Linked DNA regions of Cricetulus griseus. The protein of the gene in region 2 interacts with the protein of the main gene of each other region in a biochemical or structural test. Links are inferred from orthologs where the notes say so. Each region holds a gene or a part of one and is shown on either strand. Other genes may lie near its edges.

Evidence for each region.
Region 1: the proteins of Lgals3bp (region 2) and Lgals3 form a complex in vitro, tested with the Homo sapiens proteins (4 studies listed by BioGRID). The link is inferred for Cricetulus griseus from reciprocal best matches to the Homo sapiens genes LGALS3BP and LGALS3.
Region 3: the proteins of Lgals3bp (region 2) and Lgals1 form a complex in vitro, tested with the Homo sapiens proteins (2 studies listed by BioGRID). The link is inferred for Cricetulus griseus from reciprocal best matches to the Homo sapiens genes LGALS3BP and LGALS1.

Annotation. Positions count from the first base shown.
Region 1 is NW_023276807.1:203,413,289-203,420,069, forward strand, and holds the start of Lgals3 (galectin-3), read left to right. Parts: upstream 1-3,344; 5' UTR 3,345-3,430; intron 3,431-6,781. UniProt on the Homo sapiens protein: Galactose-specific lectin which binds IgE. May mediate with the alpha-3, beta-1 integrin the stimulation by CSPG4 of endothelial cells migration.
Region 2 is NC_048600.1:130,936,189-130,942,869, forward strand, and holds the end of Lgals3bp (galectin-3-binding protein), read right to left. Parts: intron 5,314-6,681; coding exon 5,061-5,313; intron 1,995-5,060; coding exon 899-1,994; 3' UTR 644-898; downstream 1-643.
Region 3 is NC_048595.1:376,033,480-376,040,260, reverse strand, and holds Lgals1 (galectin-1), read right to left. Parts: upstream 4,252-6,781; 5' UTR 4,105-4,251; coding exon 4,096-4,104; intron 2,921-4,095; coding exon 2,841-2,920; intron 1,603-2,840; coding exon 1,431-1,602; intron 1,223-1,430; coding exon 1,076-1,222; 3' UTR 1,012-1,075; downstream 1-1,011. UniProt on the Homo sapiens protein: Lectin that binds beta-galactoside and a wide array of complex carbohydrates. Plays a role in regulating apoptosis, cell proliferation and cell differentiation. Inhibits CD45 protein phosphatase activity and therefore the dephosphorylation of Lyn kinase.

The DNA.
Region 1 (6,781 bases), on a different chromosome or scaffold from region 2:
CTCATTGAACTGTGGGAATGGAGTTGCCCTGAGGGCCTTTGCTTGACTTTTTATCCTTTGTTCATTAAATCAGAGTCCTACCATCTCTGTATCAGGAGAAACCAAATGGACTGTGGCTGAGGGTCAAGGATAGGCTTGTCCCTTCTTTCAAACAGCACAGTCATCAGAATCTAGCAGTCATTCGGTGATACTTTATGAGACTGCCTCGTACATTTATTCTGAATGAGTTTATATAGGCATTGGGTTGGGTTCTAAAGAGTCATTCACCGCACATTTACAGTTTATAAACTGCAAGCACTTCCTGATATAGCAAGACCCTGTTGCTAGTTTTATTTGACATGAAATGGGCAGAGAAGTGTTCTCTAGAATGGGGCAGTGAAAAAGAAGTCTGAGCTTATGGTTCAGTTTAGCATAGTGAGCCATCTAAGTATCAAAGATTTAAGCTTTATCTACCCCCTGAAAAAAAAGATAAAAGATTACCAGAGGTCAAGAGTGTGACTCATCTCTTATCTCCATAGCAACCTGTTTGACTGTCCACTTCGGGCTAGCCCTCAGAGAGAGTGTCCCGGTGACTCAACATCTTAAGGCTTGAAGTGTTTTCTTAAGGGACAAAAGACAGCCCTGTGGCCCATCCTGTTCAATCCTCACATGCTAATCATCTCCAGATGACTCATTCAAACACTTGGTTGCCAAGATACCTGTACAGAGGAGAGTTCACGGTGTCAGAATTCATCTGTAGCCACACAGTGACTTCCATGTGTAAGCTTGGAGGGGGCAGCAATGCTTTGACAGTGGCAGGCCCTATAGACCTTGTAGATCTAGCCTAGAGAACAGTAGGCTTCCTCAGTGCCGCCAATGAGTGTGTGCACATTTCCCAGGCCATTTATTAATACACTAATATTATTTTAGAGACTTTAGAGATTTAGGAATTCTGGGGTCAGGTGACATCTGGACTGCTTCATGGTTTACGTAAGGCAGTATCTACAATGATTGTTTGGGATTTTTGTTTTTGAGACAGGGTCTTACTATGTGTCCCTGCTGGCCTCAATTCCTATACAGACTAGGCTGGCCATAGACTGAAAGGGATCTGCCTGTCTCTGCATCCCAAGTGCTGGGATTAAAGGTGGGAGCTACCACACCTACCTACATTTCTTTTCTTTATTCTTTGTGTGTGTGTGTGTGTGTGTGTGTGTGTGTGTGTGTGTGTGTTTGAGACAGGGTTTCTCTGTGGCTTTGAAGCCCGGCCTGGAACTCCTCTGTAGACCAGGCTGGTCTTGAACTCACAGAGATCTGCCTGCCTCTGCCTCCCCAGTGCTGGGATTAAAGGTGTGCGCCAAAGCCCAGCAGTGATTTCTATTTTTAATGCTTACATTCATTTATTTCTAAAATATTATTTACCTATTTTAATATTTTAAAATACATTTCTTTTTGCATGTATGCATGTGAGCATGTGGGGGGGGTGGTTGGAGGACAACATTCAAGAGTTGGTTCTCTCCTTTCCTCGTGAGTTACAGGGATCAAACTTAGACTGTTGGGCTTTGTAGCAAGCTCCCTTACCTGATCACCTACAGTGATTCTCTTCACCAGGGGTTTGTTGTTGTTTTACAGTCAATATAAAAGTTAGTACTTCTGGATTCTGCTCTTCCAGTGGAAGGACCTTGGAGAATCAAATTGCTTGCCCAGTGTCTGAGCGCATTTCGTCTTCTATACAAAAAGAATCAGTGACCAGGTGGCTTGTAAACAGCAGGTGCTTACCTTTTATCATTCTGGAGGCTGGGTCCCAGCACCAAGGCAGCCTCTGTGTTTGCTTTAGAGGGTGACTTTCCACTGTGTTCTCACAAGATGAACAATGGTTCATTCCTCTTGGACCTCACTGGACAGTGGAGGAGCAGAGCTGCCCCTCCAGACGGTTGCAGCACAGGACCAGAGCTTCCTGTCTGACTCAGGTTCTTCAGGGGCCACCTCCCTTAGAGCTGTCTGACAGCTAGCTGACTTTGGGGTTTTAGTTAGAGCAGGAAGACATGTAGTGCCAGAGGGACAATTTCTCAAACTCTTGGACTCTAACATACTTTCACCTTTATCATGATTATGTTTAATTCTTTATACCTACATTTTCTCATGTCTAGAATGGCATTTGTAAGCAAGGGCACAGAAAAACTACCAAACTGGACTGACTGCTCCATGGGTAGAAAGGAAGGTTTATTGGGGCTCAAACTGCCAAGGTAACACTCCATCCCAGGTGGGGGGAGAAATGCTAATGGATTTTATATGACAGTCAGCAGAACTGGGGAGGGGGGCTTTGAACTGATACATCCTGTTGGAATTGACCAGGAACTAGATGCCTTTGTCCTAGGTAGTTGACATTTAGGGGCAGATTAAGAGAGATTCCTGGTCAACAGAAACTACCTTTAAGTTTCTGGTTACCCAGCCAGAGTCCTTCTGTTTAGTAAATTGTCACCAGCCATTGTGTGTGTGTGTGTGTGTGTGTGTGTGTGTGTGTGTGTGTGTGTGTGTGTGTGTTTGTGTGTGGTGCTTTAGAACTAACAGGATTAAAACAATACCAACTCCATAAATGCATGTAAAGTCTTAGACACAGTACAGGGTGCATACTCGTTTGGTGGATATTACCTGATGTTATCATCTGAAGCCGGAAAAGAAAAACCATCTTGAATATCCTTAACCACTAATCACTCAGCTTTTATCTAAATAAATGTCTCCAAACTAGTTATCAGCCTTCTTGCAAAGGTGGCTGTTCCTTGTAACAACTTCTCATACAGACAGAGCTTCGCCCTGTTCTTTTGACTTCACTATCCCTTGCCACGCAGTACTCTCCTCTAATCATTAAGCAAACATCTTTCTAGGAAGCAGTTTACTCACTCACTTATTCATTCATCCACTCTCATTCATTCATTCTTTAATCAATAAATTCCCACTGAGGAAAAACCTACTATTCTGAGTAGATCAAAACACCAAAACTTGGGGTATACAGACACAGCAAAATTCAGCAGGAATGAATGCAAACGGGGTTGCCTTTTACAGCTCGGTCACGTCAGGGATACCTGCTCCTACCTCTCCTCACCCGCATAAGTCACTTCCCACTTTTTGGGAAGGCTTTGGGTGAAGGAAATGGAGGCAGGATGAGACCGTGAGAGGCAACTTCAGACTCGGGAACCGGTGAGTCTGAGAGTGTCTGGGTGCGAGGATCAGGGCCCACTTTCCGGGCACAGGTGAGGGACACAGGTTGGCGGGAGTGTCCCTGTTGCAGCTTGGGGAAGCTCTGGGGTCCGCGGGGCGCGGTCCAGGCAGGCGCCTGCTGGCCTGGAGATGCTGCCCCGCCCCGGGAGGGCGGGCCGGGCTGGGGAGAAGTGTACAAAAAGCGCCCAGCCGCCGCCCAGCAGCTAGCGGAGCAGCGGGCGGAGCACTGACCAAGGTGAGCTGCGCGGAGCAGAGCGAGGGGGACCGGTGCTGCTCTGTGCACCAAGAAAGGGCTTGACTGGCGGGAGGAGACCTTTAGGGTCCCTGGCACGGGTCCACGGCCGTGACTCACCCGCGGGTAACACTCCGAGAAAGTTAGTCGAGACCTATTTACTGAGCATCGTTGGGGCAGCGGGATGCCTGCGGGCCCTGGGCAGGCATCGGAAGCTCTTGGCTCAAGTGAACCCAAGAGCCACCTTGCAGTTGGCTCCAAGCGGTTGCCCCTAGCTTAAAACACAGGAATCAGGTCCCCCTCCCGGTACGCTGGGGGGCTGCTTGGGCACCCTCTTGACAGCTTCTGGGATCCCTGCCTTAGCCAGCAGGCTCCTTTGGTACACCTGCTGAGATTTTCACTAGAGATCTTTGCTGTGTGTTGCCAGTGAGCTCTACCAGCCTTTCACTAGAGATCTTGCCCTGTGGTGCCAGTGAGCTCCACCAGGTCCAGCAGCGACAGGGGTTACAGCCACTCCCTGCGTGCTGACCGCACAGAAGTGTTGCCCAGGCTCTAGTGCGCATGTTCCCAGATGAGGAACGACGGTAATCTCTAAACTTTTGCAAGCCAAGTGACTCATCAGTGCCCAAATGTGATTTGTGCAATAACCTCTAGATCTGGGCTGGGGAAGTCTTGGGTGTGGTGATGTTTTTCCCAGAGTGTAGAGCCTTAGTTGGAGGCTTTTAAAAGTTGGATTTGTTCTGCTGTCTGTTGCTCAAACACGAATGCAGGGAACCAAGATGCATGGATTGAATATTTGGGGAGTTGGGTTTCTAGATAATGAGGACCTCAGGACCTAGTGACCCAGCTTATTTTGAAGAAAACAATTGCAATCACAGTGTTTATATGACTAATTTCTGAAATTCCAAGTTGTTTGCTTCAAGTTTATGTATTTCCATATTTTTATTTATTTGTTTTTTGGGGGAGGGCCAGGCGGGGTCTCACTGCAGCCTAGGCAGGTCTGGAACTCACTATGTAGCCCAGGCTGGCTTTCACTTTTCAATCCTGTCTCAGTATCCCCCAGTGCTAAGATTACAGGTGTGAGCTGCCTCCCCCAACTATTTCCATAAAAATTGAAGTTTCATAACAAAAGCTTGCTTTTCTACCACAATAGTCTTTGGGAGGGGTGATTATGGAATTTGAGATTGGAAGTGTTTTGTTGTTTTTGATTGAGACAAGGTCTTCCTATGTGGTCTAGGGTGGTTTTGAACTTGTGATTTTCCAGGCTAGAACAAACACACTTAGCAATTGTCTCCTTCTTGGTCACTGGTATTTTTTGCTTTGCTTTGCTTTTGTTTCTTGAGATAGGGTCTTACAATATAGCCTTGGCCGGCCTCATACTTATTACATATCCCAGGCTGACCTTGAACTCATGGCACTCCTTCTACCATAGTCTCCTGGGTGCTAGGATTACAGTGTATTGACTATCATGCTAGACTGTGCACATTGATTCTGAATACTTTTCAAATAGGTCCCTTTTCCCTATGGTAGTCATATTTATCCTTGATGGGGGTTAGCTTCCTAAATTCACAATGTTTAAGAGTTTAAAATCTGTACTTATTTCCCATTCTGGGGAAGACTTTCATGGGGGTCTTTCAGGTTTAAGCTTAGAAGTGTTTAAGGGATAGCTCACTAAATTGTAAACAAGGCAGAAGGAATGGAGAACTGCTTGATGCATTGACCAAAAGAATTGATCACGTTTATGTAAAATGACTAACTCTCTTCAGGGCTTCTTAATCAATGATATATTTCACTGGATCAAAAATAAGTACAGTGGCTTTATTGGTTTATTTGTTATTTTTCAAGTTGGGGGTCTCATGCGTAGCACTGGCTGGAACTCGGTACATAGAAACAGATGCTTTCCAAAGAACTGTTCCTTAGGTGGGTGTGGGAGTCAGTGCCTGTAATTCTAACACCCAGGAGGCAGAGCCTCCTGAGAATCTCAAGTTTAAGACCAGCACAGGCTACATGGAGAATTCTAAGCCAACCTGGGCCACAGAGTGAGACCGGTCTCAAAGTAAATATATTAAAAATATAAGCTTTTTACTTCCTGCCAGTAAGCTCAAGTGGCCTAGAATTGGTCTTATTTATGATTTAGGTGCTGTGTGCCTAGCACCCTTGGTAGCCAGAGTCTAAATCTCCATTGCAACAGACACAGCTTGGTGTTAACAAGGGGTCATGCATTCTTCCTTGACTGATACTCGGCTTTTCCAAAGGGGAAAAGTCAGTGACTGAGACAGAAGCACAGAGTAATTTTATCTTCCTTGATGTGAGGAACTGGGAAGAGAGAGAAACCCTAGGAGATGGCCAGTGTCCTTTCACTGATTGCTGCTTTGGAATGTGGACTTCCTCAAGCCCTGCTCTGTGTTTCCATGAAGGCAGGGAATGGAGAGGCAGGAAATGGAGAGGCATTGCCTGGGCTCCTGGGAAGGGAGCGTGGGAGGGCCCAGGATCACCACTTAGTGTTTTACAGTTTTGTTCTTTATGAACACAAATTCCAGAAGAGTTCTTGAGAACCCAGACCACTGGGTGGTTGGCACGTAGGCCCAGCAGAACATGGTGCAGTGGGCCACTCCTATTAAAGGAAAAGCTCTCAATTAACAGCTGGTTACATTGACTCATATTTAAGCTCATCATTCAGAATGACTTTGAACTGTTTCTGCCTGCTGCTTTCAAACGAAATATTTCCAAATACAGAGACTAAGACCCATAACTCTGCTTTAAAAAAAAATACCTTTGATGAATTTTTCTTTCTTTTTTTTTTTTTCTCTGTGGCTCTTCAAAAATTTCCTGGTTCTAGAAGTGATAGAATGGAGTTTATACATTTACATTATCTGTAGGGTGGAAAGAATGTCCTACATTTGAGAGTTTGAAAAGAGCAAGTTATAATCCTTTTCAAAAAAGAGATCTGAATCAGGTGGTGGTGGCATACACATTTAATCCCAGCACTCAGGAGGCAGAGGCAGGCAGATCCCTGAGTTTGAGGCCAGCCTGGTCTACAGAGTGAGTTCTAGGACAGCCAGAGTTACACAGAGAAACCCTGTCTTGAAAATCTAAACCAACCAAACAAACAGATCTGGACCCAGTAAGATAGTTCATGGGTATGACACTTGTCTCCAAGACTGAGTTTAATCACTGGGGCCCACATGGTAGAAGGAGAGAACCAACTCCTAAAATCTGTCCCTTGACCCCTTTATACACACACTCCTACAGACACAAAATAAATAACTATATGTGAAAAAACTACATCTGGGAGCTGGAGAGATGTCTCAATGCAGCATAATCAGAAAATCTGAGTTCAGATCTCCATCACAC
Region 2 (6,681 bases):
GGCACACACACACACACACACACACACACACTTGTCATAAAGGAGCTGGGGAGGCATCCGTTACCCAGGACCCAAAGGTGACCCTCTCACAGGATGTCTCCTCCCAAAGCATCGAAGACAATCGGGGGCCCCACAGCTCACCCAGCGCCCCTCTTCTGCCTGACCCCTGACCTCTGGTGCTCCATCTTCTGTTCTGACTGACTGAGCACCTAGTGATGCATGCAGAGTCTCCCCACTTTTCCATCCTTACAGATGCTGGGGTGCGGCTGTCTCTCGGGCCTGGCACAGGCTCAAAGCTTTCTGGAGGAACTGCTGCTCCCCATGCTGCTTCCTCCTCCCTGCAGGTACCCTCCTCCGTCTCCTGCTGTTGTTCTTTAGTCTCTGAGTCCCAGCGCGCAGTCTCTTCTCAAGGACGCCCCTATACTCAGTCAGCTCAGCCCTGTGCTCACCAGCTTGATACCCGCGGCTGCATCCCACTCTGTCCTCTGAGGAGGCCGAGGGCCAGGGCTGGGCTGTTGGGGCGTTATTGTCCACCTCCCCCAAGGGTTTACAATCTCATTCCCTGTCCCCCAGAAGCCAGCACACCTGCCCTTCAAACACTGGAGGAAGCCAGCAACACCTCCTGCATGAATGAGTCAGCATGGTGAGAAGCATGTGTGACTTTAATGATTTCAGATTAGCAGACTGAGCTACCCACTGGACCTCACAGAACCTGCTTGTGCCTGCAATGGAGCCCCGGGGACTCTCAGCACTGGAGTGAATGCTGGCTGAAACCTAGTAAAATTTAAGGCTCATAAAGACAGTGGAGGCTAGAGGGAATCTGGTGGCAGGCTGCTGGGAGTGGCTACACAGAAGGGGACACGTGGGTGTCTGAGTTCCCACCACTGAGAGGGACCATCTAGTCCAGGTCAGTGGAGTTAGTCAGGTAGAAGGGGCGGATGACCACACGGAAGCCGCTGAAGGCCCCCGAGGTGCAGGGAAAGAGGGAAGAAATCTTGGAACTATTGGTATCCAGGGCACTGGGGACAGGAGCCTTAGAGCCGGCAAAGTTGGTGACATCCACCACACTGTGACCTCCACAGAGCATCAGTGCTTTGTTTTCATAGCCAATCATAGGCTCGGAGTAGCTGGACTTGGTGAGGCCCAGAACTGGGAGCTCGTCAGAGGTGCAGGAGAAGCCATAGTTCCAGCAGCTCTGGACGGTGGGGAGGTAGGTGGCCGACCAGGAGATTAGCTTGTCCGTGAAGAGAAAGCTGGGGTGTTGTGGGGTCTGGAAGGACCGGTAGGGGGAGTACCGACTTACTGAATCATAGCCATATGAATAGTACCCATACACTTGCGCACCCTGTGACCTTGAGGAACGGTCTGTCACCAAGGTGCTCCAGGTTGAGGAGGTGTAAAGCCGGGGCTTGTAGGTGTTCTCCGTGAGGTTCAGGCCTCTGTACTTGGCCAGTACTGGGAAAGGCACAGTGTGGAACTCCAGGGCCTCCATGGTCTTCCTTTGGAACAGTGCCTGGTGACCCTGGTACAAGGACAGGTTGAACTGCAGCTCAAACAGCTGCTGGGGCAGCATCATGGGGAAGCGGACCTGTTCCACCAGGCCCTCCACCTCAGCATGGGAGGCGCCACTCTCCGCGCTCCACTGATCCACGGCCTTCAGCAAGTCCAGCTCACTAGACACAGCCAGCTCACTCTTGGAGAGGAGAGCCTGGAGCAAGGTGGTGGGAACACTCAGCCAGGCCTCAACCTGTGTCAGAGGCTCAAAGTTCCAGGCCAGGAACTGCACGCACAGCTCTTCCAGCACAGAGTCCCTGGTGGCCTGTGCGTACTCATAGAGCTCCAGGGGCGTGTGGAAAGTGGGATCCTCGGGGAGGAGGGTGGCGAACAGCCGGCTGCAATAGTCTCGAAGCTGTGTGGCCCCGTAGGCAGAGGCTAGCTTGTGCAAGCACTTAACAGAAGACATGGTGACCTCGATTCTTCGGGAGTAAAAGTACCTGGGGGTGGGAGGGAGGTTAGGAAATGGAAGCCTGCCCTGACAGACAGCAGGGCTTTTGTTTGGCTTGCTTTCCCACACAGCTACCTACTACACCTTCACCATTGACCTCACGCCAGGGTGCCGCCACTAGTGGCAGCATTCACCTCCATTCTCATGCCAACTGACAGCAACTTTTGGGTGTTGGGCCACAGGGTGGATAGTTGTTGGCAATGACACTCACAGCCACTTTCTTCCTCATCTGTGAATGCCCTCACCTGAGGGGTTCCCACCTACATCTCCTGGTCACTCTGATGTCACTGTGAGCCTTGGACAGCAGAGGTCTAGACATGGGACCCTGCTGGGTTCCTGTGGGTACCTCTTTCTCCCCAAGCATCTGCTCTCTGTCAGGTGATAATGACACCCGATGATTTGGTCACCCGATTTCTGCTTCCCTGGGACTATGAGCCATGTGAGGGTCTGAGCCCACCAAGTCCAGAGTGACACCCTCCCTGTTGGTCCATAAATGTTCAAATAGAGTTGAGGGTTCCTGCCATTGGCTTCACAGCACCCCAGAGGTTGGGATGGCAACTCTCTCCTCAGGGCTGGTGCACACAACTCGTGGTAGACCATGCATAAAATCACCTCATAGGGAGGGCACGGGACAGTAGGATGCTACCACCAACCTCTCCCTGCTCTTGAAGGATTGGCACCAATTTCTAATCCTCATCCCACACCAGAGTGGTCCCTCAGACTGCTAGCAGCTATCTCTAAGTGCCAAGGGAGGCTGGGAAGTGCCAGGGTTCTTGTGAGTGCCTCTCTGCCCTCATGCCCCTCCCATGCTCCCTTACTCAGGGCCCAGTCTTAGTTTCCAGAAATCAGAGTGGGCCTCCCCACCCTGCCCATCCTTTTCAAGTAAAAATCACATATGCAGAGAGAGAGAGGGGAAAAGCCCAAAGCCAGCTTTTAGGCTCGAGGGACAGCGGGAGGAGTCTAGGGGACTGTTGTGTCTCCTGTGGCTGAACCCGTGTGTGTGTGTGTGTGTGTGTGTGTGTGTGTGTGTGTGTGTGTGTGTGTGTGTGTGTGTGTGTGTGTCCATCCTCAGAGGGAAAGGGGGGATGAAAGAGGAAGAGAGAGGGAGGGAGAGGGAGAAAGAGAGAGATAACAGGAGCCCAGACCTGAGGCCACAGCTGGGGGTGGGGCAGGGGGTTCAGGAAGGCAGGGATGACATCTGCTCCACCCTCCACTGTGTCTTAGACATAGAATTCACCAGGAGGACACAGGAACCCTGCCAGGTTTGCACACTAGGCTGGGAGCAAATGGTTCTAATCTGGGTTTAATTGCCAGTATTATTCTTATAAATGTCAGATTCCATTATATAAAGAATCGTGTCATAAGGGTGAGAGAGGGTACTTTTTAATAAATGTTCTATTTTAAAGAACCACTGCTTTCAAAATGCAAACCTCAGAGTCCTCCTGGGTGGGGAACCTGTGTAATCTTGACAATTAAGCAGAGAGGTATGGAGGGAAGGGTCGTGGCAGAGTCTGGGGAGGGATGTGGACCCCACTAACTGTCTCTACTCTCATCTGTAAGTATGGGGTAGTCTGAGAGGCTCCTCAGAGGGGCAAGCGTTCCCTCTTCCCTCACAGACAGTTTTAAAGTCATGGCTCCCTGCTGTTCTCTTAGCAAGACCGATAATGTGGGAAGGGAGGGCTCTTACGCTGAAGTTGGCAAGATGGCTCAGCAGCCAGTCAATTGCTACCACATCTGATGACCTGAGTTGGTCTCCAGAACCCACAGGAGAAGCTACTCCTGAAAGCTGTCCTCTGACCTCTGCATACACCCTGTGGGGACCACACAAACAAGCACACAGGAACCTCACATTGTATCTCTATCGTACCTAAGACACATGACATAGAGAGGGGAGGATCATGCGTGCATCTTACCTATACTGTCCATGCCTTTCTAAGGGCCCCAGGGAGTGGGAGGGGAAGCCTGGGACTTCATTCCAGCCTTGCTGTAGGATTCCATGCTGCCAGTTCCCACCTGGACTCTATTTCCATGCGCCCTCCCAGGTGGCTCCCAGGTGGCAAACTGCAGGCCAGTACTCCATGCTGAAGTCACAACCTCAGAATACCAAACCCTTCTTACAGGATTTGGAGTATTTAGAGTCGTATAGTGAAAATGCATGTATCTGTGTGCACTTAATGTGGGTGGGAGTGCACGTGGGCACACCAGTTCAGTGTGTATGGGGTGCTTTATGGTAGGAGTGCTCTGGTGGTCTGAATAGTCCCCATTCAGACATATGTGATTGCTTAGTCACCAGGCAATGGGACTGTTTGAAAAGATTAGAAGGATTAGGAGGTGTGACCTTGTTGGAGATGTGTCACTGGGGGTGGGCTCTGACCTTTCAAAAGCCCATGACAGGCCCAGTCTCTCTCTGCCTGTGGATCAGGTGGTAAAGCTCTCAGCTACGGCTCTACCAAGGTCCACTGCCACCACCAAGGTGACGATGAACTAAACCTCTGAAGCTGCAAGCAAGCCCCAATTAAATGCTTTTTTTTTTTTTTTTTGAAAACCAGCCTTGGTCATAGTGTCTCTTTACAGGAATAGAACAGTGATTAAGATAAGTAGACAAACAGGCACATGTAAAAGTAAGGTTTGGATGCATGAGAACGTGTTTATACAGGTGCAGGGAGCATCTGGATACATAAGTGTGTGTGTGTGTGTGTGTGTGTGTGCCCAAAGGTGGTGAGTATTCACATGTATGAGTGTTCAATGCTTCCATGTAAGAGCAGGGAGCATCTGGGTGTTAATGTGTGCTCACATTAACACATTAGCACATGCAGCAAGTGTTGCGGTGTGTCTCCACGTGACACTGAGGTAGGTGGGAGAGTTTGTCACCGTCTGTCTGCCAGGGCAGATGTGTGCAGTGTGAAGAAGCATGCACCCATGTGTGATATGTGTGTTGCACCAGCCCATGCTTGAGTATGAGGGGCAGATCTGCCACTCTGCCACCCCACCGCAGCGCAGGGATGCCCTAGCGGGAAAGCGGGGCAGAGGAGCGTGCAGCCCAGCCTCTCCCTACCTGAGGAAGTCTCTGACCACGGGCATGCAGTCCACGTCCACTCTCATGATGACGCTGCTGCCCTCTGCGTGCCACAGGGCCTGGGCCTCCGAGTTGGTGTTCAGGATCAGCTTGTGGGCACAGAGGGTCAGATCCCTGTGCCCTTGCCCTGTCACCTGAATGAACAGGTCACAGCCCTGCTGGCTGTCAAAGATCTGGCCCAGCGCATCTGGGAGGTCTCCGGAGAGGTCCAGGATGTGCATGCTCTCAGTTTCTGGGAAAGACAGGGGGTTGCTGTGTGAGGGTTTGGGTTCTGCAAACTATTTTCTCTGGCTCCAAGCTCCACCTATCACTCGGAAGTCAGGTTCCTCATCTGGTTCCTGGCTTTGCTCAGAAGGGCTTGTGGGGAGATGCAGGATGGAACAGGCCTTCAGGAAGGGTGCACCTGCCCTCTGAACTTCATGAAACAGGAGCAGGCCCCTCTGGCCTCTGTGGCCCTGTGTGCCCCGTACCCTATATACCCAGAGGCTGGCTCCCTGTACCCACTCAGGCACTGTGTGTTTGGTTTGTAGAGAGTGCTGTAATGGTTTGAATAAGAATGGCTCCATAGGGTCACATGACTGAATACTGAGTCACTACTCGGGAGTGGGACTGTTACAAAGGGTTAGGAGGATTGGGCCCTGTGGGAGGAGGTGTGTTACTAGGGGAGGGAGGGAGGGAGGGACAGAGGGAGGGAGGGAGGGAGGAGGAGGAGAGGGAGAGAGGAGGAGGGAGGGAGGGAGGAGAGAGGGAGGAGGAGAGAGAGGAGAGGGAGGGAGAGAGGAGGGAGGAGAGGGAGGGAGGGAGGGAGGGGGACTCTGACCCTGAGTCTATGTCCATCCTTTACAAACCCATCAGTAACCGCAGAAGCCGCTCTCCTACACCCAGGGAACAGCCTGAGAAGTTAGGGTTCCACAGCAGCCCCACATCACAACTTGGTGCTTCCCAGTTCCAAGGGGACGAGTCCTTGAGGGGCTATGGCACACCTCTGGGCATCCCCACCTTTTCCCTGCCTCCCAAGTCCTAACCCAGAACCCCATGCCACATCACCGGCTGCCCGCATAAGGGTTGGCTTGACTTTCACATTCAGAGTGGGTGGGCTGGCCCCTCACAGCCCTTATGTCATGGCCCAGGACCCTCCAGCTCCTACCTCCTGGTCACACTGTTCCAGCCAGAGGGGTCTCTCGCCCTCCCTCCCAGAAGCCTGCACAGCTCAGTCACACTCATGAGGCTCCTCTAGTCTGAGCCCTCCAACCCAGATCAACTTGTCCCCAAGCTTGTCTGACCTCATGGAATCCAATACCCTCGTGCCTCAGTTTCCCAACTCAGGAACCCCATGGGCTAGCCCAGGAGGACACCATAGATGGCGGCCAGGAAGGAAGGCTCCCATTGAGCCTCAGACACGGGAGGTGAAGAGTTGGAACGGGGTCGGGGTTTTTGGCAGGCAGGACTTTGGGCACCAGAGCTCTTGACCATCGCCATTGAGAACCGCGTCAATGTCACCACACACGGGTGTGTGCGCACAGGGGCGTGCATGCACTATGTCAGAGCAAGTGACAACCACCAGATGTTGAGCTTCAGAGAGCCCACCCTCCCTCATACA
Region 3 (6,781 bases), on a different chromosome or scaffold from region 2:
TCCCTGCACTTGGGAAGCAGAGGCAGGCAGATCTCTGTGGGTTCGAGGACAACCTGATCTACAATACAAAGAGGGTTCCACAGCCAGGGATGTTACACAGAGAAATCCTGTCTTGAATCGCCCCCTCCCAAACAGTAGCATAAGAGACCACAAACTACAAGGCATTATGTATCCAGAGCAGGACTTGGCCTCCTCCTTAAAATCTCATTTAACTTCACAACAACCCTCATCTGAATTATGTATTACCCCCCATGCACAAATGAAAAACCAAGACTGAGAAAGATCAGCTAGTAAGTGCAAGGCTTGTAGCAACAGCTTGTAGTCCTTTGCCTTAGCACCCCTGTCCTACCTACGAGGTGCTTCTATGTTACCCGAACTAGTTTTTTGTTTTTGTTGTTTTCTGAGACAGGGTTTGTCTGTGGCTTTGGAGGCTGTCCTGGAACTAGCTCTTGTAGACCAGGCTGACTTCGAACTCACAGAGATCCACCTGCCTCTGCCTCCACAGCACTGGGAATAAAGGCGTGTGCCACCACCGCCCAGCTCCCCAAGCTAGTTCTAAATGATCCTCTTGCCTCAGTCTCCCGAGTAGTTAGTAGTATAGGGATGCACACTAGTCCCAGATAACTCCACCATGTAGCCAGGCTGGCCTGAACTTGATAACTAGTCCAGACTGGTCTTGAACACTTGTCGATCTGTTTGCCCTAGCCTCATAGGTTTCAAGTCTGTGCCACCATGCCCAGTGGCTTTCTGACCCTTCTGGAGGCAGATGAGGCCCTGTTGTTCATTCCTCCTCCACTTCCCACTGTTCTGCTCCTGTCACCACACTCTCTGGTCACCAAACCCTCTATGTGCTAGGCTCTGCTTGGCCTGGAGAATCTGGGGGAAGAGGAGAGGCTACTGGGACCAGGAGGGACACGTGGAGCAGTGGCTGGGAGTGAAGATTGATCAGCCGAGGCAGGACCCCTCACACAGACACAGACACAGACACAGACACACATATACACTCTCACATGAGGGTTTAGGCTGTGGGGAACAGAGGCAGCTGCCTTTATTGAGGCCTAGGGGCTTGTTGACTTCACTCAAAGGCCACACACTTGATCTTGAAGTCGCCGTCTGCCGCCATGTAGTTGATGGCCTCCATGTTGAGACGGTTAGGGAACTTGAACTCATGCCCATCTGGCAGCTTGATGGTCAGGTCAGCCTGGTCAAAGGTGATGCATACCTGGGGGGTGGAGAAGGGCAGTGAGTGACACCCTAAAGCAGCTCAGAGCCTGGATGACAGCTCCCATATAGGTGAGTCTCTACATAGGTTCAGAGCCGGTGACAGTCACTGGTAATCACACAGCCAGGGAAGGTCAGCCTGTCTCTGAGCACTAAAGCCATTGTTGTCCAGCCCACCCCAGGCCCTGCCCAGCCCCCATCCTGCCCACCTCCACAGTGCTTCCAGGCTGGAAGGGGAAGGCAGGCTCCCGGTGCTCAGTCCCCCAGGCTCCGTTATCCTTGCTGTTGCACACGATAGTGTTGGCGTCCCCATGGGCGTTGAAACGGGGGTTGAAGTGCAGGCACAGGTTGTTGCTGTCTTTCCCCAGGTTCAGCACAAAGCTAGGGAGTGACAGGTAGGCTTAAGACCATGTTGGCTGGCTCTAGACCCAAAGCTCACTGAGAAAAGGCAGCATCAGCAGCTGGCCTGTAATGTACCTTGTTGAAACTCAGCCAACAGGAAGGCCAGGAACCTGGGTTCTAATTCTGGCCTCAATATGTGAGTTGATCTCGACCCTACCATTTCTCTCTGAGCCAGTTTCTTTCCTGTCTGTACAATGGGGGGAGGGGGCCTGCGCTGAAGGGATCTCTCTCCCAGACATTAATTGGTGTCAGCTCTTTGGTCAAGGGGGAGACTCTCCGATGTCCTCCTGTCTGTCTTGTGTATCTGAGTCCTTGGTGCCTAGTACAGAGCAGAACACTGTGCAAATGTCCCATCATTGTGGAGTAAAAGTGCAAATAGTAGTATGGGATTTGATCTGTTACATGGGACCTGGTAGCAGTACTTGCCACCATGGTCTGGTAGGAAAAAAGAGGAGCAGGCCCAGGCACTCACTACCATCAGCCAGCTAGCTGCCTTGATAAATCTGGCCCCTGGCATTCTCCACACCACAACTTTCCCTCTGGCTTTATTAGGAAACCCAGACTCTTCCGGGTGTGGAGGTGCAGACTTTCAATCTCAGCACTGGGGAGGCAAAGACATGTGGGTCTCCGTGGAGGCTAGTCTGGTAGACATATAGTAAGTTCCATGCTAGCCAGGGCTACATAGTGAGACCCTGTCTCCCCACAAGGAAAAAAACAAAACAAAACAAAAAACAAAAAAAAAAAACGAGGCTTCCTGAGCTTGGGTGACTGGTCTAAGGTCACATGGTTGCCTAGAAAATAGGCGATGGGACTGTGAATGAGAGGGAAGCACTGAAAGAAAAGACTGAGCCGGCACACCCCACCCCACCCCACCCCCAGGCAGCAGGCACGTGGGTGATCCCTCCCTCATTGCCACATTACACATCCCAGGCAGAAGGGGAGGGGGTAAGCCGAGGTAGCTGTTGAGGCAGCAGCTGGTTTAGTTTAAGAACCTCCATCCGGGAGAGAGGGGGCGGGAGGGGAAGGGAGACCACGGTGAGGTCGACCAGACCCAGCTAGGAAGTGACTCACCCAGAAAACGGAGCTTCTGCAGCTGACTATTAACCCCCTGCGGGCTGGGGAGAGGAGCCCTGGCCCAGCCACGCCCATCCCCAGCTTCGGGACCCAAGGCCTGCTAACACCGCCCCTGCCACCACCATCGCTGGCTCCATTCTCACCTCTTGGCGTCAGGGGCCACCTCGCCCCGAACTTTGAGACACTCCCCAGGTTTGAGATTCAGGTTGCTTGCGACCAGACCCTGTGTAGAAAAGACCACCTAGCTGCATTTAGGGCCGAGTTCAAACATGGCCTGAGCTACCTGCAGAGGCCTGGGGTGTGTGCATGGGATCAGAGACACCCTGGGTATCCGGAGCAGCCCTAGGGGAAGCCCAGAGGTAGGGTGGGTGGGTAGGACAAGGTGTAAGTTCTAGTCTTGATTGTCCCAGCACGGTATGCTAATTTGAAACTTATGGACAGAGACAGAGCCTAGAAGATTCACTCAGTCAGCTTGGAGATTTTTTTTTTTTTTTTTTTTTTTTTTAACTTAGAGTGGAGGGGAAGATGGAGCGTGACCGAAGTTCTCATTTAGCGCCTCCGGGAGTGAAAAAGCAGCCCCGACCTCTCCAGTTCCCCTCAAGGCTCTGTCTACAGGCATTGGAGTGGAGAAGCTGAGGGGCAGCCCCCCTCCTCCCTCCCCCGCAGAAGAGTGCAGCTAGAGAGCAGCATCATGGATTTAGCAAACTAGAGGAGAACCCAGCAGATAGCTGGGTATTGCTGGGCACCTGCCTGGTGGGCAGACAGGAGTTAATTTGTGTGAGGAGCTTCTTTGACATTTGAACCCTGACAAATACACAGCCTGTATGTCTATTTGTGCAAATGCACGCAGTTCTCTAGGCCCCCGGCTGGCCGGCAGCCACGAACAGCCCCAGCCTGGCCTGGACGGCAGCTTCTCCTGGGCCCCGGAGGTTTTTAAGTTTTTCTGGAGCAGAGGGTGATCTACTGGGCCCTGGCTCTGTGACTGGGGACAGCTGCAGGGGGGGAGGGGTCAGGAGCCTCTAGAGTAGAGGAGAGGGAAGCAGTGAATGGCCTTGCCCAAATTGTCCCCCTGCCTCCCCTTTCCCCCTCCCCAGGTGGCCACACCCTTCCCACTCTTACTTCTCAGAAAACTGCGAAGTGCCCCAATATTGGACCTTCTAAGATGTAAGCATACTGTCGGAGCTCAGAGGAATCCAGGATACTCTTAACACAGAGAGGCTGAAGACTTTTGGGGACTATGCCACCCACCCCCATTTTACAGACGTGGATACTGAGGATCAGAGAAAACACCTGTCTAAGGCCGCACAGCTGGAACCAGGTCCCAAACTGGCCACTTTTCTATGCCCATCTGCTGCTGTTTAATCCCCTAGACCTTGCAGTAGAGGGTCTCGCACTCACACAGGCCATGACTGAAGCGAAGTGAAGGCGGCTGCACCACTTGTCTGAAGACTCCACCCGAGTGACGGGACCCCAAGCCCTCTCCGACCCTTTTAACAGGACCCAGACCCGGTGAGTCCCGCCCCTCCGGTAGGCTAGGCCAATTGATGTCAGGAACGGGGTGGGGGGGCACTAGAGGCGGAGTCAATGGATTATAAATCCAGTTTTAGAGCAGAGGTGACCAGTCAGAGAGAAGAGTGCCCCTCCTTAGTCCCTCCCTCAGGGTCCAAGCGCCGCCCCTTATTCTTCCCCATCTCTCTCCTCCCACTAAAAAAAGATTTGTGTGGTGGCAGAGATTGGGGGAGCCAGTGGAAAATAGTTTGAGGATGAGTTAGGCTCAAGAGTTGGCGGGAAGGGGCCTGGGGCCAGCAGGCAGAGAGCCCCTGGGGCTCAGTGCAGCTGGTGGGGGTATGTGTGTAGAGACTGAGGAAAATTAGAGCAGGGCTAAAAGAGGCTGCAGCCTGGCAGACCGGGGTGTGGCTCCGGCTGTGGCTCTGGATGTGGGCCTCTGTGGAGGGCTGAGAAGGACCACAAAGCCCAGGCCCCACCCGGGCTTTCCCCGGAAGCAGCGTACTGTGGCTGCAGCTCAGTGCTGCTCACTAGGGCTAAAGAAAGACTGGGCTGGGCGCCAGGCCTGACGCTGGTGTCCTTGGCTCATACCTTGGACTTCACCCCACTGCAGAGCCTGCAGAGACTTCTGGGTGCCCTGGCTCTGACATCCCTGGGCCTGAGAGGTAGCCTAAGGTGTGTCAGCTCTGCACCCTTGGTCTCATTCTCACTTTTGGAGACCAGACATGGCCATCCATTTAGCAGATACTTTCCTGAGCACCTACTATGTGTCTAGCCCTGGGCTGGCCTTGGAGGACTCAAAGTTGAGCCCCTCCCAGTCCCTACTCTCAGAATCCACGGTTTGGCTAGGATCTGACCATGAGTCTGATTAAATAAGGTTGTGTTGGTTATGGGGAAGGCAAAGACATAGATACCACTGTGGTGGGATGGAGACTGTGGGATGTAAAGCAGGGTGTTGAATGACCGGGCATTCTGACTGGGCAAAGGCTTTGTGATGAGAAGCCCAAGCCTGGGGAACAAGCTGATGAGTGTGTAGGAGAGAGATAGGAGTCAGGGATCATGAAGGGCCTTTCGGACCAGACAAAGGGTTTCATTGTTGTTTCGCCTGAGGGTCCTAGGGAGCTACAGATAATTATGGGGTGAAATGCGACTTAGGGAGGCTCACTGAGCAGAGTGGAGGGTTAAGTGGTAAAACAAGGCACTTCTGAAGCTGCTCCTGCCCAAAAGCCTGGACCCCTCCTTTGGGTCCAGAAGACTACTGACAGGATGAGTCTGCCCTCTCTCTGCATTTTCTTGGATCCATCTCCATACTTTGGCTCAGACTCCTGCTTGACTCAACCTTCCTGACCTACCTCATCCTCCTTCTAAGCCAAAGGCACGGAGACAAGTCACTGACCCAAATCTGCAGTCGTCTTGGATTCTAGAAAAAGCAAAGCCATACAGGACAGCCCCTCCCCCACAGGAGGTCAAGCGTCTGCACATGCAGGAGCAGGACTGGCCCTCTCCTGAGCAACTGCCTGTCCCCTAAGCAATGGAACTTCTTTGAACCCGTCTTGCAAGGCCAGTCTGCTCAAGTATGCATACCTCTTGCTATCTGCCCCAGTTCTTCCCATATTGAAGCTTAAAGTGCTTCGTGGCTCATGCCTGTAATACCAGCACTTGGGAGGCTGAGGCAGGAGGGTTAGGAATTCAAGGCCACCATCAGCTACATGAGACCCTGGCTCAAAAATAAAGAAAGAAAGAAAAGAAAAGAAAAAGAAAGAAGAAAATTAATAGCTAGGTAGGCAGTGGTGGCACACACCTTTAATATTGTACTCAGCAGGCAGAGGCAGGTGGATCTCTGTGAGTTCCAAGCCAGCCTGGTCACAGAGCTAGTTCTAGGACAGCTAGGGCTGTTATACAGAGAAGCCCTGTCTCAAATAACCAAAACAACAACAACAAAAACCCCCAACCCAAGCCAGGTATTGGTGGTGCACCCTTTTGATACCATACCAGCACTTGGGAGGCAGAGGCAGGCAGATCTCTGTGAATTCCAGACCAGCCTGGTCTACAGAGTGAGTTCCAGGACAGGCTCCAAAACAATACAGAGAAACCCTGTCTCGAAAAAACAGAACAAAATAGACAAAAAAACCCCAGCCCCCCAAAACAACAGAAAAAAAACCCTCAAAATACCCCAACAAAAACAATAAATAAATAAAACATTAATGGCTGATATAGCAACAACTGCCCCCTTAAAAAAAACAACACATGGGGCTGGAAAGATGGCTCAGAGGTTAAGAGCACTGTCTGCTCTTACAGAGATTCCCAGTAACCACATGGTGGTTTACAAACCATCTATAATGAGATCTGGTGCCCTCTTCTGTTGTGCAGGAATACATGCAAGCAAAAGGCTATATATGTAATAAATAAATCTTACACACACACACACACACACACACACACACACACACACACACATATCAGCACCCTAAAAACAGACTTGGGGTTACTGGATCCCTTTATCTGTTCCCCTTCCCAGCCTGGCCTCGAACTTTCTATGCCAAAGAGGATCTTAAGCCTCTGATCCTCCTACTCCTGC